Linked DNA regions of Callithrix jacchus. The main gene of each other region encodes a partner of the protein of the gene in region 2 in a complex. Links are inferred from orthologs where the notes say so. Each region holds a gene or a part of one and is shown on either strand. Other genes may lie near its edges.

Evidence for each region.
Region 1: the proteins of PPP2R2A (region 2) and PABIR1 are in contact, whole or in part, in a cryo-EM structure (PDB 8SO0), measured with the Homo sapiens proteins. The link is inferred for Callithrix jacchus from reciprocal best matches to the Homo sapiens genes PPP2R2A and PABIR1. Residues at the interface, in NP_002708.1 of Homo sapiens: Phe84, Leu87, Lys88, Ser89, Leu90, Tyr178, His179, Asp197, Met222, Glu223, Leu225, Thr226, Glu227, Val228, Tyr337, Asp340, Phe343; in NP_612206.5 of Homo sapiens: His81, Ser82, Ser83, Arg84, Leu85, Ile88, Lys89, Glu92, Arg99, Glu100, His103.
Region 3: the proteins of PPP2R2A (region 2) and RBL1 are in contact, whole or in part, in a cryo-EM structure (PDB 9C6B), measured with the Homo sapiens proteins. The link is inferred for Callithrix jacchus from reciprocal best matches to the Homo sapiens genes PPP2R2A and RBL1. Residues at the interface, in NP_002708.1 of Homo sapiens: Lys88, Tyr178, His179, Asp197, Leu198, Met222, Glu223, Glu224, Leu225, Thr226, Glu227, Val228, Ser247, Arg278, Ser279, Phe280, Phe281, Ser282, Glu283, Ile284, Ser287, Tyr337, Phe343; in NP_002886.2 of Homo sapiens: Ser615, Pro616, Leu617, Met618, His619, Pro620, Arg621, Val622, Val625, Arg626, Ser629, Leu632.
Region 4: the proteins of PPP2R2A (region 2) and ARPP19 are in contact, whole or in part, in a cryo-EM structure (PDB 8TTB), measured with the Homo sapiens proteins. The link is inferred for Callithrix jacchus from reciprocal best matches to the Homo sapiens genes PPP2R2A and ARPP19. Residues at the interface, in NP_002708.1 of Homo sapiens: Lys18, Gly19, Ala20, Asp23, Asp24, Asp29, Ile31, Thr45, Asp47, Gly49, Arg51, Val53, Phe55, Val73, Thr76, Gln78, Glu81, Pro82, Glu83, Phe84, Leu87, Lys88, Ser89, Glu91, Glu93, Tyr178, His179, Asp197, Leu198, Asn221; in NP_001293124.1 of Homo sapiens: Lys42, Pro43, Gly44, Ser46, Phe48, Leu49, Arg50, Arg52, Leu53, Lys55, Lys58, Tyr59, Phe60, Asp61, Lys75, Pro93, Asp97, Leu98, Pro99, Pro103, Leu105, Val106, Ala107, Ser108, Lys109, Leu110, Ala111.
Region 5: the proteins of PPP2R2A (region 2) and IER5 are in contact, whole or in part, in a cryo-EM structure (PDB 8UO5), measured with the Homo sapiens proteins. The link is inferred for Callithrix jacchus from reciprocal best matches to the Homo sapiens genes PPP2R2A and IER5. Residues at the interface, in NP_002708.1 of Homo sapiens: Glu91, Ile92, Glu93, Glu94, Asp116, Tyr178, His179, Asp197, Leu198, Met222, Leu225, Thr226, Glu227, Val228, Thr230, Ser247, Phe280, Phe281, Glu283, Ile284, Ser287, Cys334, Tyr337, Glu338, Asn339, Asp340, Phe343, Lys345; in NP_057629.2 of Homo sapiens: Ala7, Arg9, Ile10, Ile13, Ser14, Lys17, Arg25, Gly26, Lys29, Leu30, His31, Lys32, Leu34, Leu35, Val36, Leu38, Val39, Leu40, Arg41.

Annotation. Positions count from the first base shown.
Region 1 is NC_133502.1:96,165,607-96,170,269, reverse strand, and holds part of PABIR1 (PPP2R1A-PPP2R2A-interacting phosphatase regulator 1), read left to right. Parts: coding exon 1-779; 3' UTR 780-4,663. UniProt on the Homo sapiens protein: Acts as an inhibitor of serine/threonine-protein phosphatase 2A (PP2A) activity. Inhibits PP2A activity by blocking the substrate binding site on PPP2R2A and the active site of PPP2CA.
Region 2 is NC_133514.1:15,257,642-15,263,476, forward strand, and holds the start of PPP2R2A (serine/threonine-protein phosphatase 2A 55 kDa regulatory subunit B alpha isoform), read right to left. Parts: upstream 4,053-5,835; 5' UTR 3,742-4,052; coding exon 3,735-3,741; intron 1,893-3,734; coding exon 1,818-1,892; intron 1-1,817. UniProt on the Homo sapiens protein: Substrate-recognition subunit of protein phosphatase 2A (PP2A) that plays a key role in cell cycle by controlling mitosis entry and exit. Involved in chromosome clustering during late mitosis by mediating dephosphorylation of MKI67.
Region 3 is NC_133506.1:2,312,199-2,318,043, forward strand, and holds the end of RBL1 (retinoblastoma-like protein 1), read left to right. Parts: intron 1-2,327; coding exon 2,328-2,498; 3' UTR 2,499-4,430; downstream 4,431-5,845. UniProt on the Homo sapiens protein: Key regulator of entry into cell division. Directly involved in heterochromatin formation by maintaining overall chromatin structure and, in particular, that of constitutive heterochromatin by stabilizing histone methylation.
Region 4 is NC_133509.1:40,253,012-40,259,023, forward strand, and holds the start of ARPP19 (cAMP-regulated phosphoprotein 19), read right to left. Parts: upstream 3,920-6,012; 5' UTR 3,868-3,919; exon of another isoform or gene 3,864-3,867; intron 3,634-3,863; 5' UTR 3,624-3,633; coding exon 3,579-3,623; intron 1-3,578. UniProt on the Homo sapiens protein: Protein phosphatase inhibitor that specifically inhibits protein phosphatase 2A (PP2A) during mitosis. Inhibition of PP2A is enhanced when ARPP19 is phosphorylated.
Region 5 is NC_133519.1:39,362,804-39,368,662, reverse strand, and holds IER5 (immediate early response gene 5 protein), read right to left. Parts: upstream 3,537-5,859; 5' UTR 3,326-3,536; coding exon 2,345-3,325; 3' UTR 1,370-2,344; downstream 1-1,369. UniProt on the Homo sapiens protein: Plays a role as a transcription factor. Mediates positive transcriptional regulation of several chaperone genes during the heat shock response in a HSF1-dependent manner. Mediates negative transcriptional regulation of CDC25B expression.

The DNA.
Region 1 (4,663 bases), on a different chromosome or scaffold from region 2:
GCGGGGGCCTCAGGAGGTCTAACAGCGCCCCCCTCATCCACGGCCTCAGTGACACTTCGCCGGTGTTCCAGGCCGAGGCGCCGAGCGCCAGGCGGAACAGCACAACGTTCTCGAGCCGCCACGGCCTGCTGCTACCGGCCTCCCCTGTCCGCATGCACAGCAGCCGCTTGCACCAGATCAAACAAGAAGAGGGCATGGACTTAATCAACCGAGAGACGGTCCACGAGCGGGAGGTGCAGACCGCAATGCAGATAAGCCACTCCTGGGAGGAAAGTTTCAGCCTGAGTGACAACGACGTGGAGAAATCCGCCTCCCCCAAGCGCATCGATTTCATTCCTGTGTCACCAGCACCGTCACCCACTCGGGGAATTGGGAAGCAGTGTTTTTCGCCATCCTTGCAAAGTTTTGTAAGTAGCAACGGATTGCCTCCAAGCCCTATTCCCAGCCCAACGACCCGATTTACCACCCGGAGAAGCCAGAGCCCTATCAATTGCATTAGACCAAGTGTTCTTGGACCATTGAAAAGAAAATGTGAAATGGAAACTGAATATCAGCCAAAGAGATTTTTCCAGGGCATCACCAACATGCTTTCTTCTGACGTTGCACAGCTGTCAGATCCTGGTGTGTGTGTATCTTCGGATACCCTTGATGGAAACAGCAGCAGTGCCGGATCTTCTTGTAACTCACCAGCGAAAGTCAGCACTACCACCGACTCTCCTGTGTCACCTGCCCAAGTGGCTTCTCCATTTATTCCACTAGATGAACTTTCGTCTAAGTGATTCATCTTGAGACTCTTTTTGCAGTGGAGAGAGAGAATAATCAAGTTGGAGCAAGCACTGAACTTTGTCGATTAATTTGAGGCTATTTCCTGTTTGACCCCTTTTCTTTTTTGATATTTCCTGAAATGATGTTATTCTAGAGAACTTCTATGTCAGGTTCCTGCGGATACCCTTGAATTCAGTGTAGTAATATTTTCAGACGTTTCCCCAATAAGTGTGTTAAAGCATACATCTTTACGCTGCTAATATGTCTAAATACATATGTTATCCCTTGATTTTTTTAAATAATTGAGAGCTCTATTTATTTATGGGATTATTAAGTTCTGATGAAAATATAAATGTTGACTTAATCAGCATAGTAAACTGATGTTAACAATTTCATACTTCATGCCCACACTAATTTTTAATGCTATTTTCAGTGGTTGCTGTTTTCCATTTGATGAAGAACAATAACTTGACTATACAGCTTTTAAATACTTTAGTTATAACATATCAATCTAGTGGTTGTCTGTTTTACCCAGGATTTCTTGGATATTTCGTTTTCTGGGTACAGAAGTGGACGGGAGGATAAATGATTAAAGAACAAATTATAAAAGTTTGCAACACATCCTTTCAAATTAACTGTATAAAAGTAAACATTTAAGAAAAACATTTTTTATGAAATTTTAATAGTAATTCTAGTCAGTCATACAAATACACTATAGAGAAAGTAAAAATTTTCCTTTTTTCTTTTTTTAACCAGAGAGTGCATTTGCTTGGGTGTAATCCTAAAGTGAGATGGGACAGTGCCTTGCAGTCTTTGCCCACTATACATAGGCTGAGGCTCTTTGTACTACTGAAAGTTAAAAGTTTTTGAAATGTAGAAAATGTGTGGAAAGGCTCGTTGAACTTCGGCGCACCCAGGTAAACAATACTCTCTCAATTGTTGATATACTTTAAAATATTCAGTTGTGCCTCAGTTCCAAAAATGATTGCCAACCAGGAGCCAATGCAATTTTTGGCTGCTTTTCTGCTCTACCCATCTGTCACTTTACTGGTTTTCCCTTGTTCAGGAAGAAAGCAGCTGTTTCCTTGCCAACAGGTCCTTCTTCTCCATATCCCACCAAACCAGGGCATCATTGATTAGACAAAGATACAGTGTAACTTGGATTTCTGACAGCAACAACAGGACTGAATTGTTTAACCTCTGTGGTTAAAGCTGCAGCTTGGTTGTCTGCCTTGGGGATGTCGGTTAATTAAGGGATGATGATTTGCAAGGGAAAATCAGTGGAGAGTCACATAGGTAAATCTTATTAACTTAGGTTTTGCTAAAGGTAGAATAGTCAAATGTTCTTTTCTTTGCCTTTACAATTAAGACAAAATAATAAGAATAGCAAATTTTTTTATATTATGCTTCCTTATACCTCATATATCTTCCTTAACTAGATAGTTTTACAGAAAGAATACAAAGAGTAAAGGGGAAAAATAACTCAGAACAACAACAAAAACAACAAAAAAGCTCTGATTTTTAAAGTTACTGCTTACGGAGACTAACAATTTTGTGGAATTTCTACAACTATGAGAATAAATGGAACTGGTCAACTCTTGACAGTTGCCTCAAGATGGAGTGAAATTACATTGAGGGTAAGACTGTCTACAGGCTTAAAATTTTCTCTGGGTGATAGTGTTCATGTGCTCCCATTCTCAACCTTGTTCTTTAAATTTAAACTTAAATATTCTGAGTTCTTGTTGAGTACCTTGCCTTGCTTCCAGAGGTATTTGAACTTCATTGTCTTCAACGCAGAAATGGTTAATTTTCTCACTTCACCTGTTCTTGCATTATCACAATTGATGTCATCACTAATATCCTAAGCTAGAAACCATGGAAGCCTCTTTGACTTTTCCTTTTCTCTGTTGGATTAGCTTAATCACCAAGTCCTGTCAACTTCTGAAATGAATTTCTTGCCTTCTCTTATCTGTTGCCCCTGATTTTGCTTAAGTTTCAGCCTGTCTTCTGTCTCCTTTTGGTTCAGTCTTCATACTACCTCTTGTGTAATCTTTCTAAAATTTAAACTTGATGTTTTTTCACTCTCTTGCTTGAAAACCGTTTTAAGGAATGGTTTCTTTAGCCTCAGATAGAAGTCCTTTATGATCTGGCTGTGTTCTGAAATAGCTCCAATCCTCTCCTCATCTCTGTCCCAGTATACATCTTCTTTCCTTCTTACGCTGCAAACGCTAGACCACTTGATATTCTTCAAGTATGTCATGTACTTTAATGTCGGTGCTCTGGGATAGATTGTTCCTTCTCCCTAAAATGCCATTCCTATCCTTTTCAGGCAGGCAAATTGCACGTGATTTTAAGTATGAAGGCAATGTATACCTACTGATTATAAAATATTTAAACAGTGTACATATCTGTGTTTTTTTTTAAGTTTGCTTTTAACTGTAAAATTCATCTTCCCTGTCCACAGGTAACTTCGGTTAGCAATTTGGTATGTAATGTACAAGGTGTGTTACTGGCATTTTCGTGTATATAAATGTAGGAAAACAACATGTCATTGACACCTCTCTTCTTTTCTTTCCGCCATATCTAATCATTCCTCAAGTCTTATTGATTTTATCAGCTAGAATCTATCTCCTTGCTTCTACCTCTGTTGCCACCCTGATCCAGGCTACCAGCATTAGGTCTCTTAGGTTTCTGAAGCAACTTCCTAACTCCCACCTGTGCCCATCACACTCGGCTATCCATCCGCTCTCCATATAGCGAGTAGAGCCATCCTTTTAAAATTGCAGAGCTGATCCATCTCCCAGCCGAAAGCTTTTCATTTTTTTCCTGTTGTTCTCATGAGTATGCCAAAATGTATGTATTCTGGGCTAGGAGGCCCTGGGGAATTTGGTCCTTCCCTCTTCCTCCCCTTGTTTTCTGTGCTTTACCCTCCCTGTCTTGCTTTTCTTTTCCTTAAATATATCATGTTCTCACCTATTTTAGATCCCTTTCCTTGAAGATATGGAAACATTTATTTCTGTAAGCTTATTCTATATAGTTGGTAAGTTTTTAAATCAGATGAGGTTCTAAGGGTATATGGACAATTTACATGATCATAGTATTGTTAATAACTTCATTCTGTAGAATGTAAGGGCTTAGCTCATGTGAGAATTATCCTTCAAAAAGCATTTTTAAGGTATTAGTATTGCTAATCTATAAACTTTGTGCAAGAAGTCCTAAAGCCAATAGCAACATTTATTTAAAGTACAGTTCGTCACATATAATAAACCTCTGTTATGTTTTCCTTTATTATGCTTTTTAAAAACACAGTGTAAATGGGAGAAATAATTAAGGATCATTAAATCCAAGGCTGCTGGATGTTAGGACCCTTAAGCGTATTTAAAAGATTGATTGTAATCAAGAATAACTTGTATCAGGTTGCCTTCCAGTGATTCACATTTATTAATTCAATAAGTTACATACCTATAGCAAGAGACCACTTGGCAATAAAATTGGGGAAAGAATTAAGACTTAAATGAGAATAACAGGTCTGAGAATATATTTTCTTCTGGGTATGTTTATAGATTAGTAGAACAATTTTGAAGATCTAACAGAGGTTGCGAATCAAGGGAATTGTTGCCAGACAATGAACCAAGATCTTGATGATTATTTCTTGAGTGGCACCAGAGAACAGAAGAAAGAGTTGGCCTTGGAAAGTAAGGTTTAATGAACCAAGATCTTGATGATTATTTCTTGAGTGGCAGCAGAGAACAGAAGAAAGAGTTGGCCTTGGAAAGTAAGGTTTAATGGAAACTTACTTTTCTTCTGAAACAGGAAGGAGAATGGAAAGACTAGGCAAAGGTATCAGCAAATGTTAAATTGATTGTTGTTGCAGGGGATTTAGGGGTATGAGGTAGGT
Region 2 (5,835 bases):
ATTTATCTCCTAACTTTACATGGCCAATAGGTTCTTGAAAACTTTAACGTGGCTTTCTGCTCAGCATCTTTTGTTACTGTATTGACAAAAATGATTTTGTTTTAAGCTGCTTTCTTTGCTTAAAGTTGCAGAACCTGTTGACAACATTAAGTGAGGACTTACTGTGTATCATAAGTTATTTGGTTCAGTTAAATGATGTTCAGTTTGAAATATCAATTTCTTCTGATTAAATAAAAGCCATGTGGTCTTTCCGCCTAATGTTTAACAAGCAAACTATGAGCTCCTTGTGGGCAGAGTTCATGTTCTAGACAAGTATCCTCAGTGCTCAGCATTTAAGGGACCTTTCCTAAGGGAGTAAATGGAATTCAACCAAAGAACAGTTTCCAAGTATACAGTGCTTTCAAAACTTGGTATTACACAACAGCGCAGAACTAACGATCCAATACTGGAGTGTCTACTATTCAACAGGTAATGGAGTTACAACATGAGTAATACACAACTCCTCCCCTGAAGTTGGGACTTATTTCTCTAAACAAGTCAAACACCACTGACTTCACCAGAAAACCTTGATTTATACTATTTGTATGACCATCAGTCAGTCTCTTTTGTTACTGGTTTCTTGTCTAAGAAACAGATGAGGATCCAACAGGAAAAGAACATGAGAGCTCTGCAAAATATGACAAATATAGCTTATGCTAGTTGGCTTCCCATAGGATTCACCACACTCTAAAACAGATACTTCATTATGAATGACACTGACACAAGCAAATAAACGCATTTGGCTGGCTAAACGCAAAGCCATCTCCTACCACCCACCACCTGAAAAAAAATCTCCAAAACAAACAGTACTCTACAGACAGGTCAGAAATATGAGGACAACACAATCTAGGGGAAAAAAGTTTGTGCATTTTCACCAAATTTTTAAAACTCAAAAAGTACATGTTTAAATTTATCTGAGTTTTGTTTGAAAAATTCCTACTGTAATTCAAGACACAGAATACTATTAAAGCTCAAATTTTAACACTTCTGAGCAATGAAATAATGCAACTAGTTTATGGGAAATGCCTCTGCTGCCTAAGACCATCTCAAATAAATGCACAACCTTGAAGTTTCAAAACTCAGATAAAACTTCTGAAACACATCAGTCAACAAATTTGGGGAGAAAATTAGACATAAGTACTTCAATTGATCAAACACAGTTTCTACCTGCACCAGCAATAGAAGCTTTCTAGAAGACAAGCGATATATGCATAGCAGTTACTGTCTTATCCACCTAATTACCAGAAAGACAACAAAATGAATAATGTGAGCTGTCATCTCTTCACAGACTATGCCAATCAGCACTACATTCCACAGCAGGCAAAGTCAAGAGAGGTTAAGAATCTTCCCATAAAAATTAGAGATGCTGCTAAGAATGTTTCTGAGCCAAATGTTGATGGCACCTATTTCAATTTACTTATCTAAAAACAATGTACAAACACAAAAATGCATCACCATTTATTTCTATGTGGAATTTATATAACAAAGAAACCCTTATATGGAGCTCAGAGCTTTCATGTGACGATTCTATATGTCTAATCATCTATCGCTCCTTTCACGTAAATTCAGAGTAAAAAATAAAAACAAGGCATAAATTACAAAAGAAACTTAAGGCTGTATTTCAGAAACGTAACTTTTAAAACTGTTCTTACATTTCTTGGACAATAAACACAAAATCATCTTGAATTTTTAATAGTCTTGGCTTCAAGGAAATCCCTCAGGAAAGATTTCTGAAAAAATTATATATCCAAATTTTGCATTATTAAATGCTTTCTTACCTTCTGCTACATCATCATCTACTGCTCCTTTCACCTGAGAAAAACACCACTGAATATCATTCCCTCCTCCAGCTCCTGGAAAGAAAACATACCAATTAAAACTGAGTTCTGCTCATGTTGACTCTCGTAAACAATCCACGGTTGGCATGATCATGACACTAACAGCTTAGTTTTGCCCACACATACAACCACCACCAAAAGCACCACTTTGGAAAAAGGTTAGTCCCCAATAGTTAGTACTGTATTAAAAAGAAAAAAAGGTTCCAGGTATGAAATCTTTAAAGGCGTATGTTCTGTGGTCATCATACATCTGTTCACAAACTTCCCTTCCTCTCAAATATCTTAAAAGGCTTACACTCAGGCAAGACCTACCAGAAAAGTGTAAATACCAAGAGTTAAAGAGTTTTCTTTTTAAGTGTACAAAAAACCTGCAGAAGAGTTAATAAGGTTAAACTACCATGAAACATAGAACGGAGAGAAAACTTCGGGAACATTACTGCCTGGGTGAGGAGTAATGATTCATATGAACCCTATCACCAAAGTGCACACACAGCAAACACTACACCCATTTCTTTGCATTCATTACCAGCAAATCACTGGCTCCAGACAGAGAGGAAAAGAAACCAAAATGAATGCTGCTAAAGAGACTGTCAAAGGAAGCCTGTTCTGCCTCCCTTCACCTCAGCCCTCCACTCCGAAGGACCTGGCAAATAATTCATTTCGCTAGTATGTCATCTCGTGCAAAACAATTTTAATCTCATTTCATCATTAAACACGGCCAACAAGCAACTTGTTTTATAGCAAACCGTAAGTCAATCCGACACGTTAACTTTTTCAAATGGTTTAATTCTCTAAGTAATGAATACAGCACGGTAAACTGGTCTAATCTCGGAATGTTTCTATTTCACGTGCAAGTACTGAGAACGAAATGGTGAAAACGTCCTGAGACTCTAGGGAGAAAGACACTGAATCTAAATCTGGAACCCATTCTACTACATGAAGGAAAAGACTTAGCAACACCAACATGTACAAAAAGAATTCTCAAAGCAATTACATTACTTCTCTCTCCCCTGTCACCCCTATTCCTTGCTAAATTTATTTCCAAACTGGTTTTCTCTCTACATCCTTTCCCCCCCCCTCCAAAGCTTCTACCTAAATCTCTCTCCTCTTTGCTATTTATATCTCTGAACTCCGCAACTATTTTAACTAACTCTACCAAACCCTTTTGGGAAAAGGACATCTGCAAAAAAGCTAACATGTTAAACGGAAAGTTGAAATTATGTTTTTCATGCAACTTGCTGTACATGAAAGGCCTTGCACTCTTCGGTGGTAAGAGGGAAAGAAACGGAAAGGAAATGGTTTGAAACAAAAAATTTAGGCTTCCAATCTCAAAAATATTGGCATCCACAGTGGGGGAAAAAAAAGACACATATGGCCCCACTGCATTTTAACTTGTAAGGCGCTCTTCTTTCTCAGTGCAAAATAATGTGTATATACACCCAAGAAGGTTTGCAGCAGGGGGGGAAATAGAAATTAAATGAAGACCTGCAGGATAAAATGAAAATAAAGACGGGGGGCGAGGTAGGAGAGGATCCACCCGGCTCCCGAGCGGGAGAGACAAATCTGCACGCGCCCCCACCCCGCCCCACCCACGCCTCACCCCAAGCTCGCCGGCACACCCCACCCCCACCCCCGCCACGGCGCCAGCTCCGTTCTCCAAGCCCAGTGGCTCTCGCCGCGACCACTCGCCTCCCCGGAGTCCTCCCCGCCTCCACCCCACCCCCCTGGACCCCACTCCCTCAAACCCGAGGGGCGCCCCGTGGCTCCGCGCAAGGCGCGGGCGGTCGCTAGGGGGTGATGGAGGGAGGAAGAAGGAAACGGTGCCTTGTCAGGGGGCAAGGGGAATTTCTCCTTTACCTGCCATGTTGCGCTGCAAATGGTGACCCTGCGGGGTTCCTCGGGGTCTCCGCTTCCTGAACTCACCCCCCTCACCTGGGGATGGGGGGGTAGAGAGGGCGGATGGCGGCGGATGGCACCTGCGGGGGGAGGGGACAGGGGCTGGGGGAAAAGGAAGGAGGGGCGGGCAGAGCAGCCGGCAGGATGCTAGATTTCACTCTAGGGCTTCCCCGCTCGTGCTCTTTCTCCGGCAGCGGCGGCGGCGGCTACGACAGCGACGGCGGCGGCGGCAGCGGCAGGGGCAGGCGACTCCACTTTCAAAATGGCGCCGGCTGGCCTGGTCAGTGACGTCACCAAGGGGGCGGAGCCGCCGGGCTGGGCGGAGAGCAGAGGGGGAGGGGCGGGGGAGAGGCCGGGCGGGCTCCTGACCACGCCCCCTTCCTGCTGCGCTCTTGCCCCGCCCTCCGCGTCCTGGCCGGTGCGGCCTGTGACGCGCCCGCGTCTCGCGGTGGCGCCCCCTCTGCCCGTTCCTCCTGCGCCGGGCCGCGGCTGTCTGCGCCTCGCGGTGTCCCAGCCCCTCGCGCTAGCGCCGGGGCTCTGGGGCGGGCTCAGCTGTCCAGTTAACGTGCTCGTCTGCAGGAATTCTTGGGGTCTTGTGCCTTTTTTGAGAATACCCGTATTGCTACTTAGGAAAGTGTCGCTTTGCGCCAGCCCTGACTCCACAAAGGAAGGGACAGCAGTGCAGACTCGCTGCTCAGCCGGGATGAAAGTTCACGGGGTTCAGAGGGACACGCTTGGGCTGGTTCCATCTGGGTGAATTAAATGACCTTCGCGTGGGCCCCAGGAACCAAGACGGGAGTCCTGGGCACTGCGGCCACTAAGGGTGGTTTCTAACAGAAACCTGAGTTTGCGATGAGAAGGGTATGGCCCGAGAAGTAGCTTGGGTCTCTCCAGCTAAATAAACAATGGTGGAATCCGTGCTTAAGAGCTGGGCTCAGGGTGGGGCGCGGTGGCTCAGGCCTGTAGTGCCAGCACTTTGGAAGCCAGAGGCGGGAGGATCACTTGAGGCCAGGAGTTCCAAGTTCAGCCTGGAGAACATAGGGAGACCCATCTCTACCAAAAAAAGAAATAATTTTTTTTTTTTTTTTTAATTAGCCAGGTATGATGGCGTGCCTATAGTTTCAGCTACCAGGAGGCTGCGGTGGGAGAACTGCTTGAGCCCAGCAGGTCAAGACTGCAGTGAGCTGTCAGCCTGGGCGACAGAATGCATTCCTTTCAAATCTAAACCAAACCAAAAAAAAAAGCTGGGCTCTGAAGCCAGGCTGTCTAATGTGATTCCAAGGCTCAGCAGATGAAGATGACAGTCCTACCTGATAGGATTGTTGGTGAGATGAAATGACTTAATTTGAGCACATGATAAATGTTAGTTGCCGTTATTATTAGATTTGTATTGAAAGCATCGTCAGTAAGGTTAAGAGGTAGAAGGAAAAAAATGAACAGGAAATGCCAGTCATCAGCTAAGAGGGGATGTGCACTTCTGCTGAAAGATGCTCTAATGATGCAGTTGCTATATACGGCACACTTTACATATCTCATTCCATCTCCACAATACTCCTAGGAGATAGATATGCACATTTTACACATGAAGACCACCTGCAAAAGCATCCAGAATTTGGCCTAAGGCTGAATGGAGTGAGAAAGGCGTTTGGAGACCAAGAAGGGGGAGTTTAAGGTATTTATACATCCTCTCCACCATTGCCGCTTTTTTTTTTTGAGACAGAGCCTCGCTGTGTCACCCAGGCTGGAGTGCAGTGGCGCCATCTCAGTTCACTGCAACCTACGCCTCCCCGGTTCAAGGGATTCTCATGCCTCAGCCTCCCTAGTAGCTGGGACTACAGGCACACGCCACCATAACCAGCTAATTTTATGTATTTTTAGTAGAGACGGTGTTTCACTGTGTTAGGCAGGATGATCTCATCTCCTGACCTCATGATTCACCTGCCTCAGCCTCCCAAAGTGCTAGGATTACAGGCATGAGCCACTGCGCCCAGCCCCCACCATCTCCACTTTCTACCATATTCTTGATTTCTAAAACAGTGGAACTGTAACACAATACCTGAAA
Region 3 (5,845 bases), on a different chromosome or scaffold from region 2:
ATCTTGCCTCTTTTTTTTTTTTTTGACCAAGTTACTACTGTGCTAACAAAATATGAACTGCTAACTATGGCATGTCTCCTCTCATCAAGAGCAGTGTCTTCAGTTTGAGGTAGTTTAATCCATTATTATTGACATGGTCTTTGTGGAGTTCACTTTGAAAGTCCCCAGCATGTTTCTCTGTTCAAGCAAGATCTTGAAAAGGGACCAGTAAGGCAATACCTGCACGTGGTCAGACATGGGGCATGATGTCAAGTGTAAAGAAAGGTGTTGGATGTGAAAGTGCATTTAGTGGAGGGTAACCAGGAAAATGTCTAAAAACAGAAGCCTCCTCTTATGTGCATAGACAACTCTGTGATTATCTCCATCCTTATCCCTGTTCAACAATGAAGATGTGATGGACATAATTGCTGTTTTCACATACTTTATGGACTATCAAGCAGATATGTTCAGTATGTTTCCAGAAGTCAAAATCAGTATAAACTGAAAGAAATTGTAGTGGGGCACATTGTAACTCAGTCCAAATACAGTGGCTGCTTCTTAACTCATTACTTTGTTATTCAGTTACACAGATACCTATAGAGTTCCTACTATACTTGATAAAGTTGACTAGGATAATATACCTGACTGGGCATAGTGGCTCAAGCCTATAATCCTAGCACTTGGGGAGGCCAAGGCAAGGATTGAGCCCAAGAGTTGAAGGGCAACATACCAGGCCGCCATCTGTACAAAAAAATTTTTAAAAGCAAAACAATTATCTGGGTTTGGTGACATGCACCTATAGTCCCAGCTACTCAGGAGGCTGAGGTGGGAAAATCACTTGAGCCCTGGAGGCTACAGTGAGCTGTGATTGCACCACTGCACTCTGACCTGGGTGACAGAGTGGAACCCTGTCTCAAAAAACAAAAAGATTCACTTCTTCATGGACTTATATTTCTTCCTTTTGCAAATTTATTTCCCATAAGGATGTTCAGAAGAGATTGCTGCATGGAGTCAAAGATTGACTTGACTTCTAAGACAGTGATTCTGAAATCATGAATCAGAATCACCTGGGGAGCTTGTTGAATGCAGATACCTGTCCCACAGACCTTGTGAATAACAAATCATCAGCTAGCAGGTCTAGGACTCTATGACATGCTCCCTATAATTGTTATATACGTGGATTTCAAGAACCACTTCTCTGCAACCTTGTTACTCAGAGTATGGTTCATGGACCAGCAACATCAGGATCACCTGGGAGCTTGTGAGAATTCCAAAATCTCAGGCCCTACACCAGCCCTACTAATTTTGAATCTGCAGGTTAACAAGATCTTTAAATAATTAGTAAGTGCATTAAAGGTTGAAAAGCAGCTAGGCGAGGTGTCTTACACTTGTAATCCTAGCACTTTGGGAGGCCAAGAGGGAAGGATTGCTTGAGTGCAGGCGTTGAAGACTAACCTGGGCAACATGACGAAACCCCGTCTTTGCTAAAAATACAAAAAATTAGTCAGACATGGTGGCTCACGCCTATAATCCCAGCACTTTGGGTCCCAGCACTTTGGGAGGCCAAGGCAAGTGGATCGCCCTAGGTTGGGAGTTCGAGACCAGCCTGACCAATATGGTGAAACCCCATCTCTACTAAAACTACAAAAAAAATAGCCAGGCATGGTGGCATGCACCTGTAGTCCCAACTAGGGAGGCTAAGGCAAGAGAATCGCTTGAATCCAGGAGGCAGAAATTGCAGTGAGCCAAGATTGTGCCCTGCACTCCAGCCTAGGCAACAACAACAAAAAAGCTTCTGCTGCTTCTAGTCTGGGTACTACGCATTGAGAACTACTGTTCTACAGTAAATTCAAATTTTTTTTTTTTTTTTTTGAGACAGGGTCTCATTCTGTTGCCCAGGCTGAAGTACAGTGGCATGATCACTGCTCACTGCAGCCTCCACCTCCCCAGGCTCAGGTAATGCTCCCACCTTAACCTCTTGAGTAGCTGGGACTACAGGCACAAGCCACCACACCTGGCTGATTTTTGTATTTTTTATAGAGACTGGGTTTGCCCTGTTGCCCAGGCTGGTGTCAAACTCCTGGGCTCAAGTGATCAAACCATCTTGGCCTCTCAAAGTGCTGGTATTATAGGCCACCACACCTGGCCTTAAATCTGATTTTTTAAACTATCTGAAAAGATTAGTTCTAGCCATCCCTTATTAGGTTGTTCTAACTTTAAAAAAGAATCATTATCCCATTGTTAAGATTTGGATAGAGGATAGAGCGCAGGAAAAAACAATTAACTTGGTTGTTTGCTGCCATTTTCCCTCTCCTTCTTTTATTCACACACTTTCTGTTTCTGTACAGAGTTTGAAAGATATCAACAACATGATAAGGCAAGGTGAGCAGAGAACCAAGAAGCGAGCAATAGCCATCGATAGTGATGCAGAATCCCCTGCCAAACGTGCCTGTCAAGAAAATGATGATGTTTTACTGAAACGACTACAGAATGTTGTCAGTGAGAGAGCAAGTCATTAATGTTGTTGTTTCTGTGATAAAAGCACTTTCAGATCATTCTGCAGAAAGTTGGAGCTCTGTCCTTCAAACCTTTTTGGCCCTATAGATGGTAAATATCACTGGGTTATAAGAAAAAATTGCACAAAAATTATGTGCTTTTAATACCCAAAATGTGGTTGACAGAGATGTATTTTAAGTTGGATTGGAAAGGAATATTTTAAGTGCCTTTTAAAAATATTAATAGTCAAGGAATTTTTTTTTTAATGTGTGCTCCTTGGGTTAGTTTTCAAGATGAAATAAGGAGAAACCCTGTAACTTTTTAGCTCTCTTTTAAAAATAAATGTCTCCTTCTTCTGAGCTTTGTAATATGAGGATAAATAATCTACTTTTGGTAAGCATGCTTTCAGATATTTGTATTCTCAATTTAATTGAAGGAGAGGGTTGGTTCCCAGAGTACCTGAGCCAGAGGGTGATGTACCAGCCTGTCTCTGGCCCACTGTGGTAATTACACATCCAGGTGCCACCACCATTCAGGGTTGTCTCACCCCTTCTCATGCCTTTTCTCTCCTTGAGCAAAAGCAGATTTGCACCTGAGCCCCAGTGCTACCCTTATCCTTGCTTTTAAGCCCTAAGCCATATTAGCCTGATGTTACAAACCAAAAAATGGGCTACTTTTTCTTTTGTAAACTATCATTTTGGTTTCTGTGGCATTAACTTAATCATGCATGATCGCGTTAACTCATGTAGTTCTCAAAATTGGCAGCTGCTTCTCAACCCAGTAGAATAAAATTCAGTTAGTTATTAAAAGCTAAATTTCCTGTTAGTAAGGTAACATCTTGATGATGTATGGTATACTATTTTTCACATCGTACTATCAGTCATGTCTAATTGAGTCCCTAAGAATATTTGAAAACGTTTAAAAAACCACATAAATATCATCTCATGCCTCATAATTCTAATATATTGAATACATCAGTAAAACAGCTGATTATTACTTCCCCCAACTTTGTTCTCAGTATTATTAGTGCATCATGAGTTTCCTGCTAGTGTTTGACCACTGGGTACTCCCGAAGATGTTTTCCAGTACTAGGGATGCAGCTTTCCAAAATATCACCTCTTTAACATTTACTTTTTCTAATATGTGTCCAGAATCCAGAGGGTATGGATAAGCCATTCATAGTTTATTTTGAGAACTTTTATCAAATCTTTATGTTTCTAACTGCAAACCTTAATTTTTGAAAGGCACAATGTTTAACTCACCTGTTTTTAACCAGGCTAATTTAAAATAGTCTAAGATTTGGCTGTCACTAATTAGTATTCTCAAGAATTTTATTTTTCTATTTTTAAGAAGAAAAGGGATTTTGGTCACATTTTGCTTGTAAATGAAAATTACATCCTCATTCTTTGTGTAGTATCTACACATTGTTATAAGCCAAATAACAAAATCTGTCTTGAATCCTTGTACATATTTGTATGTCGCCATAACTGTTGTATCATTTTTATCTTCATTATTATGCAAAATGTAAATGAGCATTTGTACATTGACTGTATAAGAAACCCTGGGCTGGGTGCTGTGGCTCATGCCTATAATCCCAATACTTGGGAGACCAAGGGAGGAGGATTGCTTCAGTCCAGGAGTTCAAGACCAACTTGGGCAACATAGTGAGCCCTCATCTGTACAGAAAAATTTAAAAATTAGTTGGGCATGGTGGCATGTGCCTGTAGTCCCAGCTACTCAGGAGATTGACAGGAGAGGATCACTTGAGGCCAGGAGATTGAGGCTGTAGTGAGCTGTGATTACACCACTACACTCCATCCTAGGTGAGAGGGTGAGACCCTGTCTCAGAAAAGAAAAAAAAAAGAAATTCTGGACATGTTTTACCATTTTCAGGACTTGCTATCAATGTACATAAAATGGCTAATAAAAATTGGAATTGAGATTATTGAAAAAAACTATTTTTTATATGACTAGAACCAATTATACAGCCATCTAAAATCTGTCTTTTTAAATACCTACTTATGTCTTTAAGTTTTCTTAGTCTAACTTAATGGTTCCTGTGATTTCCAGGGTCTAGGGGGAAAACAAAAAATAACTGCGTAATGAATATAGAGTTTTTTGGGGGGGAGTGATAAAACTGTTTTGGAACTTGATATAGGTGGTATAGTTGCATAACATTGTGAATTTACTAAATGCCACTGTATTGTACACTTTAAAATGGTTAATTTTGTGTTATGTAAATTTCACCTTAGTTTTTTTTTAAGTCTTAGATATTATATTAGTCTGTTTTCACACTGCTGATGAAGACACATCCAAGACTGGAAAGAAAAAGAGATTTAATGGACTTACAGTTCCACGTGGCTGGAAGGCCTCACAATCATGGTGAAAGGCAAGGACGAGCAAGTCATATCTTACATGGATAGGGGCAGGCAAAGGGAGAGCTTATGCAGGGAAACTCCCATTTTTAAAAGAAACAGATCTTGTGAAACACATTCATTCTGGTCACCAGAACCGCCCAGGAAAGACCCGCCCCCACAATTCAATCACCTCCCACTGGGTTCCTCCAACGACACAGGAATTGTGAGAGTTACAATTCAAAATGAGATTTGGGTGAAGACACAGCCAAACCATATCATTCTACCCCTGGCTCCTCCTCCCAAATCTCATGTCGTCACATTTCAAAACCAATCATGCCTTCCTAACAGTCCCCCAAAGTCTTAACTCATTTCAGCATTAACCTAAAAGTCCACAGTTCAACATCTCATCTGAATCTGAGGCAGTCAGTTCTATCTATGAGCCTGTAAAATCAAAAGACAAGTAAGATACTTCCTAGCTACAATGGGGGCACAACCACTGGGTAAATATAGCCATTTCAAATAAGAAAAACTGGCCAAAACAAAGGGGCTACAGGCCCCATGCAAGTAAGTCTCAAATCCAGCAGGGCAGTGAAATCTTAAAGCTCCAAAATGATCTCTTTTGACTCCATGTTTCACATCCAGGTCATGCTGATGCAAGAGGTGGGTTCCCATGGTCTTGGACAGCTCCACCTCTGTGGTTTTGCAGGGTACGACCTCCCTCCTGGCTGTTTTCACAGACTGGCATTGAGTGTCTGCAACTTTTCCAGGCACATGGTACAAGTTGTCAGTGGATCTACCATTCTGGGGTCTGAAGGACAGTGGCCCCCTTCTCACTGCTCCACTAGGTGGTGCCCCAGTAGGGACTCCATGGTGCCTCCAACCCTACATTTCTTTTTCACACTGCCCTAGCAGAGGTTCTCTATGAGAGCCCTGCCCCTACAACAAACTTTTGCCTGGACATTAGGCGTTTTCTTACATCCTCTGAAATCTAGGCAGAGGTTCCCAAACCTCAA
Region 4 (6,012 bases), on a different chromosome or scaffold from region 2:
CTTCTGCATCTGCACTTTCTTTTACACCAACTGTCTAGGAAAATGAGAAAAGAATGGAGCTGAACTTAAAATGTGACTGTATCTATGACTCTGGGAACTTAATGACCTCAAAGCTTACTATAAAAGGGGAACTGAGCCACCACATAGCCTAGGGGAATGTTAACAAACTAAAAAACTACCTTAACTTTTAACAGTTGCTGCCATATTGCCAATATATTGGAAATTTAGTTTCAGCAAAATACCAAGCACACAATCAAAAATTTAGACTGGCTTTGTTTGTATTTAATCTATTTTAGTTTAAATTTTATTTTATTTAAAATGGAGTCTCACTCTGTTGCCCAGGCTGGAGTGCAGTGGAGTGATCTTGGCTCACTGCAACCTCCACCTTCTGGGTTCAAGCGATTCTCCTGCCTCAGCCTCCTGAGTAGCTGGGACTACAGGTGCGCGCCACCATGCATGGATAATTTTTGTATCTTTCAGTAGAGATGGGGTTTCACCATATTGGCCAGGCTGGTCTCGAACTCCTAACCTCAAGTGATCTGTCTACCTCAGTCTCTCAAAGTGTTGGGATTACAGGCATGAGCCACAGGGCCACACCGGACAACTTTTATTTTATTTATTTTTTAAAATTTATTTATTTTTGAGGCGGAGTTTCGCTTGCTACCCAGGATGAAGAGCAATGGCGCGATCTCGGCTCACCGCAACCTCCGCCTCCTGGGCTCAGGCAATTCTCCTGCCTTAGCCTCCTGAGGAGCTGGGATTATAGGCACGTGCCACCATGCCCAGCTAATTTTTTTTGTATTTTTAGTAGAGACGGGGTTTCACCATGTTGACCAGGATGGTCTCGATCTCTTGACCTTGTGATCCACTCGCCTCGGCCTCCCAAAGTGCTGGGATTACAGGCGTGAGGCACTGCACCTGGTATTTATTATCTGACACAGAATCTTGTTCTGTTGCCCAGGCTGGAGTACAGTGGTATGATCTCAGCTCACTGCAACCTCTGCCTCCTGGGTTCAAGCAATTCTTGTGCCACGGCCAGCCAAGTAGCTGGGATTACAGGTGCGGGCCACCACACCTGGCTAATTTTTTACTTTTAGTACAGACAGGGTTTCACCATGTTGGCCAGGCTGGTCTCCAACTTCTGGCCTCAAGTAATCCACCTGCCCTGACCTCCCAAAGTATTGAGATTACAGGTATGAGGCACAGCACCCGGCCTTTTATTAAATTTTTAAAAATATTTTTAAAGTAGCTCACTGTAGTCTCAAACTCCTGGTCTCAAGTGATCCTTCCACCTCAGCCTCCCTAGTAGCTAAGACTACAGGGCTACAAGCATGTCACCACAGCTGGCTAATTTTTATTTTCTGTAGAGACAAAACCTTGCCATGTTGAGCAGGATGGTCTCAAACTCCTAGCCACAAGCGATCCTCTTGCCTCAGCCTTCCAAAGTGCCAGAATTATAGGCAAGAGTCACCATGCCTGGCTGTTTTAGTTTTAGAGTGGTTTACAAGTAATTATACTTATTTTTTATGTTTGTACATATTTAATTGCATCCTAATACAAAATAGGAATCTGGTTTTCTCCTCTTACCAAGGGTGCACACGCTACTCAATATAGAGAAAGTGACTTAGCTTTCACTCCATGAGGGCCCAGCTATCTACTTTAATTCTTCAGAGGCAACAGGCAACCAGTAAACTATAAAGGTATTTTTAGCTGAATAGTTTGGCTTTAAGTGGAAGGTCAATTGGGTATACAGACAATAACTCAATTTTTTAGGTCATCAAACCGATCTTCCAAAGAGAAGGTGATTTGGCCAACAGCACATAGAAGTGACTTTGCACATTTTCTTCACAGTTAGGGACACTATCCATGCCACAGACACTTAGCATTTACAGCCAATCCTCAATTTAAGAAGGAACATGATATTCCTAACACACTTTGGTTGGTTTTAATGACAGCAGCTAAAGCCAAAACACCTTAAATGTTTAATGTAGACAGTAAGAAAAACGTTTGAGCTACCCTTAATATTGTTAAAAGATACATTAGGCTTTTCCAAGTCAAAGTTTTACACTCTAGAAATCAACACTGCATCCTCTGGCAACATACTAACAGAACTTATCAAAGGAAATTACATAGCACACTATTGTGCACCTTAAGTTAATGCTAAGTTTGATGTCAGTGTTTAAGGCAAAACACCACAGGATAGGGACTTGTTATTTTTGAGGGTTGCTAAATTTCAAGCAATAATGAACACAAACATTTTACAATAAGCAGCTGATGCTTAATACTACTGTTAACACTGCAATCCTTAATATTTGCATTGTTCCCCCAATTTTTTTTTTTTTGGCAATGTGTAAAAATATCTATTTTCACTGGATATTCTCAAATAATGTGGTAACTTAGGCTATTATCTATGCTATTATTGTTTTCTTGTTTTTTCCCTTCAATTACCTTAACATCCTAACAGAACCACACAACTCAAGTTAACACGGTTTTAACAACATGGAATGGGCTTAAAAAACTAACCCAATTCCCAACCTAATGAGGACAAGTGAAACATTAAGCAGAAACCCGCACGAAGATCAAACATTAGACCAAAATCGTACTTTACGACAACACAACCTGACTTGTAAGAAAAATTGTTTATTAGGAAACAAGATACCTAGGCCCTTTCTCACTTCTCGGCCAGTCACACCAACCCAAGAGGGCAGGGCGGCGGAAATAATTATAATGGGAGAGACAAACGCTAGCCTAGATGAAGATAAATCCTTTATGTTCGTAATTTGAACCAGTCTGACACTCTTGGCCTATTCCCCTACATCAAGACAGAAATGCGTCTAGAAAATATTCTCATGTTGCCAATAAAACCCTGATTAATTTCGTGAGTAGAAAAAAAAATTTTTTTTTTTTTGAGATGGAGTTTCGCTCTTGTTACCCAAGCTGGAGTGCAATGGCGCGATTTTTTAAATTCCACCGTTTCGATTTTTAGTCAAGTACCGTAGGTGAGTCCCATTGACGGAAACCTTTTTGGACTCTGACTGCGCTTAACACTGACACGTGCCTGACCTCCTCCAGGCCTCACCGCCGCCAGGGGAAGCAAGCGCTAGTATTCGGCCTTTACAGGTGAAGACACGGTGGTTACACCGGTTGGCCCTGAAATGCCAATCCCGGCCCACGTCGTGACCCGCTCACGAGGCACTGCCTTTGGAGTGAACCGCAAGCTTACAAGTAGTTGGAGAGTTCTTCAAAGGAAAAAAAAATAAAACTTCCTAAGCAAACTGAAGCTCGCTGAAAAACTTCGGCTCTCCGCCCAAGGGCTGTGTCCTGGGCTCTCGCGTAAATCTAAGTGACTGCTGAACACCCGACCCACGGAGGCGCTGGAAAAAGCACGACTCGGAGAAAACGCGGGGCACGTTGGAATTCCCAATTAGTCGGCGCTCATCACCAGCCAGTGACGGCGGGAAGCCAACAGTGAGGCGCAGGTGCCTCGGCCCCGCATCCCGGGCGCGCCCCTCCGCCCGGCGCGAACAGGCCGCCCGCCAGACCCGACCCTGGGCAGGGCCCGCGTCCCGCGCACTCACCTTCTGCTCCTCCGCGGAGGCTGCCTCGGGGACTTCCGCAGACATACTGCTCCCTCTGCAGACGAGACGCCGGGAAAAGATGGAATTAGCGGGTGGCCGAGGCCGCCGGGCCGCCGCCGCCTTGGGCCCGCCTGTCGCCCGGCCCAGCTCTCCCAACGCCCGCCGGGCCGCCTCTGCCCGCGCAAATGGCGGCAGTTTTATGATGACACGAAGCTGTGGGGCGCTCTGCCCGTCGAGGCCTCCGCTCGCCGAAGCCCGCCTGCCCGTCTCGCGCCGCGCCCCTACCTACTTGACCCCGCTTCTCCCGCTCGCTGTCGTCCAAGCACTTCCTTTTTTCCTTCAAAGGTCGCGGCTCCCGCTTCACCTCACATCCGTCTGTGGCTTCCGAATGCTTCCTGGGAATTGTAGTTTCTAAGTGGAGCCGCCTCTCCCCGCCCTTTCCTGTCCACTCTGGCCCCCTGGTTCTAGGAGCTTTACTGTTTCTACTTCCCCAGCCTTGCCTGGTTTTCGGTTCTCTTTGCTCTCTGCACCGTAGCCACACAGGCTGTCTTTTGGGCCCATCAAAGCTCCTTCCTCCATTCTGCCACGCCTTCACATCTTCGGACCCGCGTCTCCGCCTCAGAACCTTTCCTTCCTAAGCCTCTGCACTAGGTCAGAGCCACCTCTTAAAGGCCGTCACAGCCCTGAACAGTTCCTCAACAACACGAACTGTATCAGACAATTGTTGTGACTTTAGGTTACCTCTCCTGCTCAGATAAGCCGCACCAGGGCAGGGATCTCGTCTGTAATTACTTACATTTTACTCTGAGGGTCCAGCACTTCCTAGATATCTAACGAAGGAATACAGATTCATTTGTCCACTCCCAGGGGGTCCACTCCCACCACTTTACCGAAACTGCTAGCCCAATTGAATTGCCAAGTCCTGCAATTAAAAAAAAAAAAAAAATTTCTGGGCCGGGCGCGGTGGCTCACGCCTGTAATCCCAGCACTTTGGGAGGCCGAGGCGGATCACGAGTTCAAGAGATCGAGACCATCCTGGTCAACATGGTGAAACCCTGTCTCTACTAAAAATACAAAAAATTAGCTGGGCATGGTGGCGTGTGCCTGTAATCCCAGCTACTCAGGAGGCTGAGGCAGGAGAATTGCCTGAGCCCAGGAGGCGGAGGTTGCGGTGAGGCAAGATCGCACCATTGCACTCCAGCCTGGGTAACAAGAGTGAAACTCCGTCTCAATTAAAAACAAACAACAACAACAACAACAACAAAAAACTTTCTTTTATTTTCTTTTTCTTTTTGAGACAGAGTCTCACTCTGTCACCCAGGCTGGAGTGCAGTAGTGCAATCTCGGCTCATTGCAACCTCCGCCTCCTGGGTTCAAGCAATTCTCCTGTTTCAGCCTCCCAAGTAGCTGGGATTACAGACACCCACCACCACACCCGGATAATTTTTTGTATTTTTAGTAGAGACGGGGTTTCGCCATGTTGGCCAGGCTGATTTTGAACTCCTGGCCTCAAGTGATCCACCCACCTTGGCCTCCCAAAATGCTGGGATTACAGGTGTAAGCCAGCACGCTCAGCCTTTTTTTTTTTTTTTTAAATTGGCTATGCGACCTTGGAAGAAAAGAATCTGTTTCTGATTGTGACACTCGCAGGGGGGCAAGTTTGAATTTCTGGGGTGCAGACTTTGGTCAAATGGAGAATTTACCATGGGCAACACTCCACTTTGAGGACCTGTCTGGAAAGCCATTCTTTCCCAACTAACACCGCTCTGCATCATTATGAACCTTAATGTGTTAAACGGCACTCTGGTCTCCGACACCCTGTTTCTTAAAAGTCCCTTCTCTTGGCCTCTAGGATACTCTGGTCTCATGGATTTCCTCCTACTTCTCTGGCCTTTCCTGCTTAATCTCCTTGTTGAATCTTAACCTGCCTCTTAATGGGAGGATTCTAACAGTTCCGTCCTTGGATCCTCTTCTCTTCTAGGTTTACACGGCCTCCAGGAAATAACTTCCACCTTCATAGTCTTTGTTTTTGTTTTTTGAGACAAAGTGTTACTCTGCCACCCAAGCTAGGGTGCAGTGGCATGGTCTCAGCTCACTGCATCCTCCACCTCCCAGATTCAAGCGATTCTCCTGCCTCAGCTTCCCAAGTAGCTGGGAACACAGGCATTTGCCACCATGCCTAATTAATTTTTGCGTTTTTAATAATTGTAGGCCAGGTGTGGTCACTCATGCCTGTAAACCCAGCACTTTGGGAGGCTAAGGCAGGAGGATCACTTGAGGTCAGGAGTTCAAGACCAGCCTGGCCAACATGGTGAAACCTCGTCTTTACTAAAAATACAAAAAATGGCTGGGTGTAGTGGTGGGCACTTGTAATACCAGCTACTTGGGAGACTGAGGCAGGAGAATTGCTTGAACCTACTAGGTGGAGGTTGCA
Region 5 (5,859 bases), on a different chromosome or scaffold from region 2:
CATCCAAAACACATCAGCTCTCTTAAACACACCACGTTACCCCCTTTCAAACATAAAATACACTGAAATTGCTGTTCAAGCATCATACTTTGTAGCAACAGGAAATGTTTGCAGAATTAAGGCGCTGGACACCTTCTTCAGTTTAAGCAGTCAGCACTTGATGGATCTTTCATAGCCATAACAGCATTTAAGTAGCTACTTTCTGAAAGAAAAAGTCGATTTAACAAGATCCTACTTTGAGAATGTTAGTTCTATAAACACATTATGCTGGTGACAGAGCATGAAGTAGAAAGGTCCCTAGGCTTAAGTGACTGCTAATAGAGTTGCCGAAATATCAAGGCACCAGGCACTGGCCTATTCAGCTATGACAGAAGTTCATATAATTCACAGTTAAGGCCAATGCACCATTCATGTTTCTTATGCTCGAAGGCTATGACCTTTAAAGCTTTGTCTCTTTCTTCAATCTCTCCCATCTTTTAAACACCCTACTCATAAATTGTTAGAAACCAGTACCATAAGAAGTCCTGGCAACTGTACCGTATTTTAATAAACATTCCCTAATCGGTTTGCTTCTGAAATAAATTGAATACCTTTCAAACACTGAAGATGAAGAGACAGAAAGCTCTCTTAATGACAGTGATTTTAGTAAAATCAATGAATGTTTTGGCTGTCATCACCTAAGTTTCTACCATGACACAAACACTGATGTCACCTTTTGAGTAACAAAAACAAATCAGGAAGTTTTGCTAAATGAGAATGCCCTCCTTCCTTATCTCGTTTGATGCAGTTTCCCTTTCACCTATACATTTCCTTTCTATAGATGAGAAAAACTGAACATTTACATCCTGACACCCTTTGAGATGCAGAGGGGGACCTGACAATTTGGACAAGTCAGTCTCTTTCAGCTTCCTATGTCGGTTGCATCAGGCTTTTAAGGTCTACTACTATCTAAATTTTTTTCAATAATAAAGCGAAAAGATGATCCATATAACAGGAAACTAAGCTGAAAAACATTTTTGTGGATGAGCAGGGCTTCAAAAGTTGCTTAAATTACTTAATAAAATGGACACCCATGTATTGGTGACAGTCAAATTGGCCTAAACTGACCTTACAAAAGGCAGTTGTAATGGCAGGTTTCAAGACCCTGGCAGGTCGGTGATATTACTATCTAATAGCGGCCCTCTGATCTAGAAGAAAAAACTAAACGTGTCTCTCTTGATACTTGGTGGAGTCAGTAAACAATGTCCTCAGTCTGCGAGTGACTGATACCAAGAACCACACCTTCAATTTTCTAGCACAGGCCCTGGTTTCCCTCCTCCCACTTCCCTCCCAACCCAGGCAGGTTATTACAGACAAGGAGGCAGTTACGTTGCTTCAAAATATTTAATACGTGTTAGACACGTAGAAGTTACATTTTTATACAAAAATCAATACAACGAAGGAGAAAATACTGTACAAAAACCTTATCAGCTCCCCCAACCTTTATACAACAAAGACTGGAGTCACCTTATCTACAAAACCATAAGGTCTTTTCACTTAGGGCTTCTGTCTGTAAACTTTCATTAAACACTTTTTAAAAGCACTGTGTAGTAGTTCTGACCTAGAGCTTTTAAAAATATATCTTTTCTCTATAAACTCCGTATTTCCAAGCTTGAACTCTTCTGTGAAGTTCATCAAGCTTTTTCACCCCTGCGGGGAAGCGAAGGGCCGTTAATACTCCCCTTTCCTAGAGTAATCACAGGACATAAGCGTTTCTTCATTGGGAAAGAAAAGTGGGGAGGGAGGGAAGGAATTCAAGTCGGTGCTCGTGGCTAAAATCCCTCTCGTCTTAGGAAATCCTGTGCGGAAACGCCACTCCTGGCCCTGAAGCGGGTCTAGCTTTCCGGTGAGGGGTGGGTGTAAAGTCCCTCGCTCTCCGGAGAACGAATGGGGAACTCCCCGGCCCAAACCTTTTAGCCGCTTCCTTCTCCACGCTGTAGGCAGAGGAAAGTCCCTGTCTGCCCCCAGTCTCGTAAGCCCCGGGGAAGGAGTGGTGCATTCCAGAAGGACAAAATAGTCTTAATGCCACAAGACAAACTTACACACACTGACATACACAAACACAAAAGTTAACAATCGTCCTCTTCCAATGAGCCTCAAGCTCCCTGGTCTCCAGAAAAGCCTCGAGAGTCCCGGGCCGGCAGGGCCCCCGCGCCCGGGGGCGGTTTGCGATGCCCGGCGGCGACCAGTCTGCCCAACGCGCTCAGCGCCTGCGGTCTCTGGGCGTCCCTGCAGCCGGGAGGGTCCCGGCCCTCACTTCGGGGACGCCCGCTGCTCAACCTCCTCCCCGCACGGAGGCAGGGGCTCAGAAGGCCACGATGGCTGTGCTCCAGGGGTTCATGTCTCTCAGCACCGGCTTATCGCAGCAGATCTGCCCGGGCTCGGCGGCTTCCGGACCGCTCTTCTCTCCCTCCTCTTCCTCCCGGCCGCCCCCGGGGCTTTTCCGTAAGAGTCCCGAGAAGCTGGAACCAAAGATGCTGATGAGGTTAGCCACGTTCCCGGTATCCATCTCCTCCGTGTCGTCGTCCTCTCCCCCGCTCGGCGGCTGCTCCAGGTTCCGGCGGGGCTTCTTGAGCGGGGTCGAGCCGGGCGCCGGGAAGCTCGTTGGGCCGCCGCCCACCCCCGCCGCGCCGCGCTTCCTGGGGCACACGGCTGGCGGCGCGGGAGGCTCGTCCTCGGCGGGTCGCGGCGCACAGCAGCAGGCAGCGCGGGGGGTCGCGGCCGGTGTACCCGACGAGTCCTCCCCGCCTAGGGGGCAGCCGCAGGGGCGGCGAGAGGCACGAGACCCCAAGGGGAAAACACCCCAGCCTCCGGCGGGACCCTCGGCTTCTCCGGCCGCCGCCTGGCGAGGCCCCTCCACTCGGCTCCAGGCAGCTTTCGCCGCGTCCGCGGCTCCGCCCTGAGGAACGACCCCGACTCCGGTCACCGTGGCCTCCGGCACCGCGTCCCCCACCCGCGGCGCCTCTGAGACCGCGGAGCCCTCCGGCTGTGGCTCCGTATCCGCCCAGGAGGCACCGGCGGCAGGCGGGGGCGGCTCTCCCCAGCCGGCGGGTGGCCCGGCTGCCGGCTCCCCGAGCTGCTGCGGCGGCGGCGCCGGGATCCCCGCGGGACCCGCCAGGTAGAGGCCGGGGCACGGATCGCTCAGGTAGACTTGGCGGGCGCTGCGCAGCACCAGCGAGACCAGGAGGTTCTTATGCAGCTTGATGCCGCCGCGCTGGACCCGCGAGTTGTAGATCTTGCCCAGGGAGATGCTGACGATGCGGTGAGCCTCCAGCTTGAACTCCATCCTGCGTCCCCTGCACACGGCCGCCGGCGCCGGGGTGACGGGGTGTCACGTTCGGAAGCCGGGAGGGGACGGGAAACACAAACAAGTCCGCCCCTGGGTACACCCTCGATCGCCTAAGACTCCGAAGAGAAACGACTGCGGTGACGCGCGCGCTGTCCCGCTGGCCGCTCCACACCAGACAAGCGCCCAGCTCCGGGTCCGGTCGCTAAACAAGGCAGCCCGGCCGTCCCGTGCCTTATATAGGCTCCGCGACCGCCAATCACGAAGGGATGCCAGCCGTTCTGAGGCTGGCCGGCGCGCCCTCGTGCGCCGCGCACGACCAATCGGAGCCCGAGGAGGGGCGCCAGGGCCCGTTCGAACGTTAGTCCCGCGGAGCAGGCTCTTAAAGGGGGCTACGGTGTGGGTGTGCGGCCGCCAACCAGGGCCGGGGGGAGTGCGGGTCGGGGGCTGTGCTCGTGGGCGCTACTGTTTAGAGTTACAGACTCAGGATTGTGTGATGGCTTGCCAGAAACAAAGCGAACAAAATCTTTGAACTTTCATCCGAGTGTGGTGGTGGACTCTGCTCTGCCATGAAGTCCTGATCCTTCCGTGATCGACCCCGCCCTCACCAGCCACGCCACGGTTTCCAGGCCAGCCACACCTGTGAGCCATCCCCCTCAACTCTAAAATAGAGATGGTGGCTATACGCGGCGTAGGACACTTCTGGATAACAAATAGCATTACTGCACGGTATTTGGCAGTTATTATTTTTGGACGAGCCGCTTTCCCTAATAGAGTCACATACACTCTTAGCAGCTGTCAGTTCTAACCCTAAAGAAAAGGGGAATTCTAGAAGTTTTTGGCTACTTTTTTGGCTTATCAAGGAATTGTGTCTAGATACAAAGTTATTGGTTGTCGTCTAAAGCTGGCATCTTTCACTTTGTTCTCCAGATTGTAGAGCAAAGCTAGTTATCAAACAGGTTAGGTGGAAGGTGTTACAGGTTCTCCACAATGATTTTTTTTTTTTTCCATTACAAGGACTGACCAGTGTACCCTTGGAAAAATCGAGCAAGTTCTGAAAATACAAAGAGAGAAGTCCTGTGTTCCCATGATGATGTCATAATTTCATTTTGTGTCAAGGTAAAAATACAGGGCAAGGGAGTTCCAGAATTTTGTGGTCTGTCAACACCTTAGTCCATCTACTGGTCCTTATAAGTGTATTAGGGCAGAATTGCCACAGGGTTGCTCAGAGTTCTGGACTGGAAACATAGAGTCAGTTCCAGTTAGTTCCAGCAAACTCCACCACAGACCTGCCTGAGAACCTGAGGCCGCTTCAGTGTCTCCACTGCGGAAAGGGGGAAGTCACATACACATCTGCTTTATTATACAGAAGATAAATGACAACTCTCAGCCACAATCTGAATGAGAAAACTAAGCACTGCTTTCTTGGAGTCCATGTGGAACCCCGGGCCTGATCCTGCCCCAGGGGTTGACCAAGCAATGAATTTATTTAGGAAAAATACCAGTGAAGAGTGGGCTTGATCATGACCAATTCATAATCTCCAGGGGATGCGATGTGCCCACAATTGATGGTAATTGAGGTAGCAGCTCTGAGACCCCAGAGCTCCTTCCCTCTAGGAATTTTCAGCTTACATAGAGAAAGAGATAAAATAATGTCACAAATAATTACAAAACCAAGTAGCATATATTGAGTAAAAATGCAAGAATTTTTCTCTTCTCTTTTCTCTTCTTTGCAAGTTATTGGTCTTAACCATTGCTATGAAGCAATGGTTAAGAACACAGACTGTGGAGGCAGTCTTCCTGGGTTGGAATCCCAGATTTGCCTTTCACTTGCTGCATGACCTCTGGAAAATTATTTCACTTCACTGTGCTGCCTTTTTTTTTAATTAAAAAATAAAGATAATCAGCTGTGCCTAGTGGCTCACGCCTGTAATCCTAGCACTTTGGAAGGCTGAGGTGGGCAAATCACTTCAGGTCAGGAGTTTAAGACCAACCTGGCCAATACGGTGAAACCCCATCTCTACTAAAAAAAAAAAAAAAGTACAAAAATTAGCTGGGTGTGGCGACTATAATTCTAGCTACTGGAGAGGCTGAGGCAGGGGAATGGCTTGAACCCAGGAGGCAGAAGTTGCAGTGAGCCAAGATCGCGCCACTAGACTCCAGCTGGGCAACAGAGTGAGACTCTGTCTCAAAAATAAATAAAATAAAGGGCGCAGTGGCTCATGCCTGTAATTGCAGCATGTTGGGAGCCCAAGGCAGGTGGATCACAAAGTCAGAAGATCAAGACCATACTGGCCAACATGGTGACACTCTGTCTCTACTAAAATACAGAAAATTAGCCCAGCTACTCGGGAGGCTGAGACAGGAGAATTGCTTGAACCTGCGAGGCGGAGGTTGCAGTGAGCCAAGATTGCACCACTGCACTTCTGCCTGGTGACAGAGCAAGACTGTCTCAAAAAAATAAATAAAATAAAAATAAAGATAATAATAATGTATACCTCTTAGAGTTTTTGTGAGGATAGAACAAGGTAGCA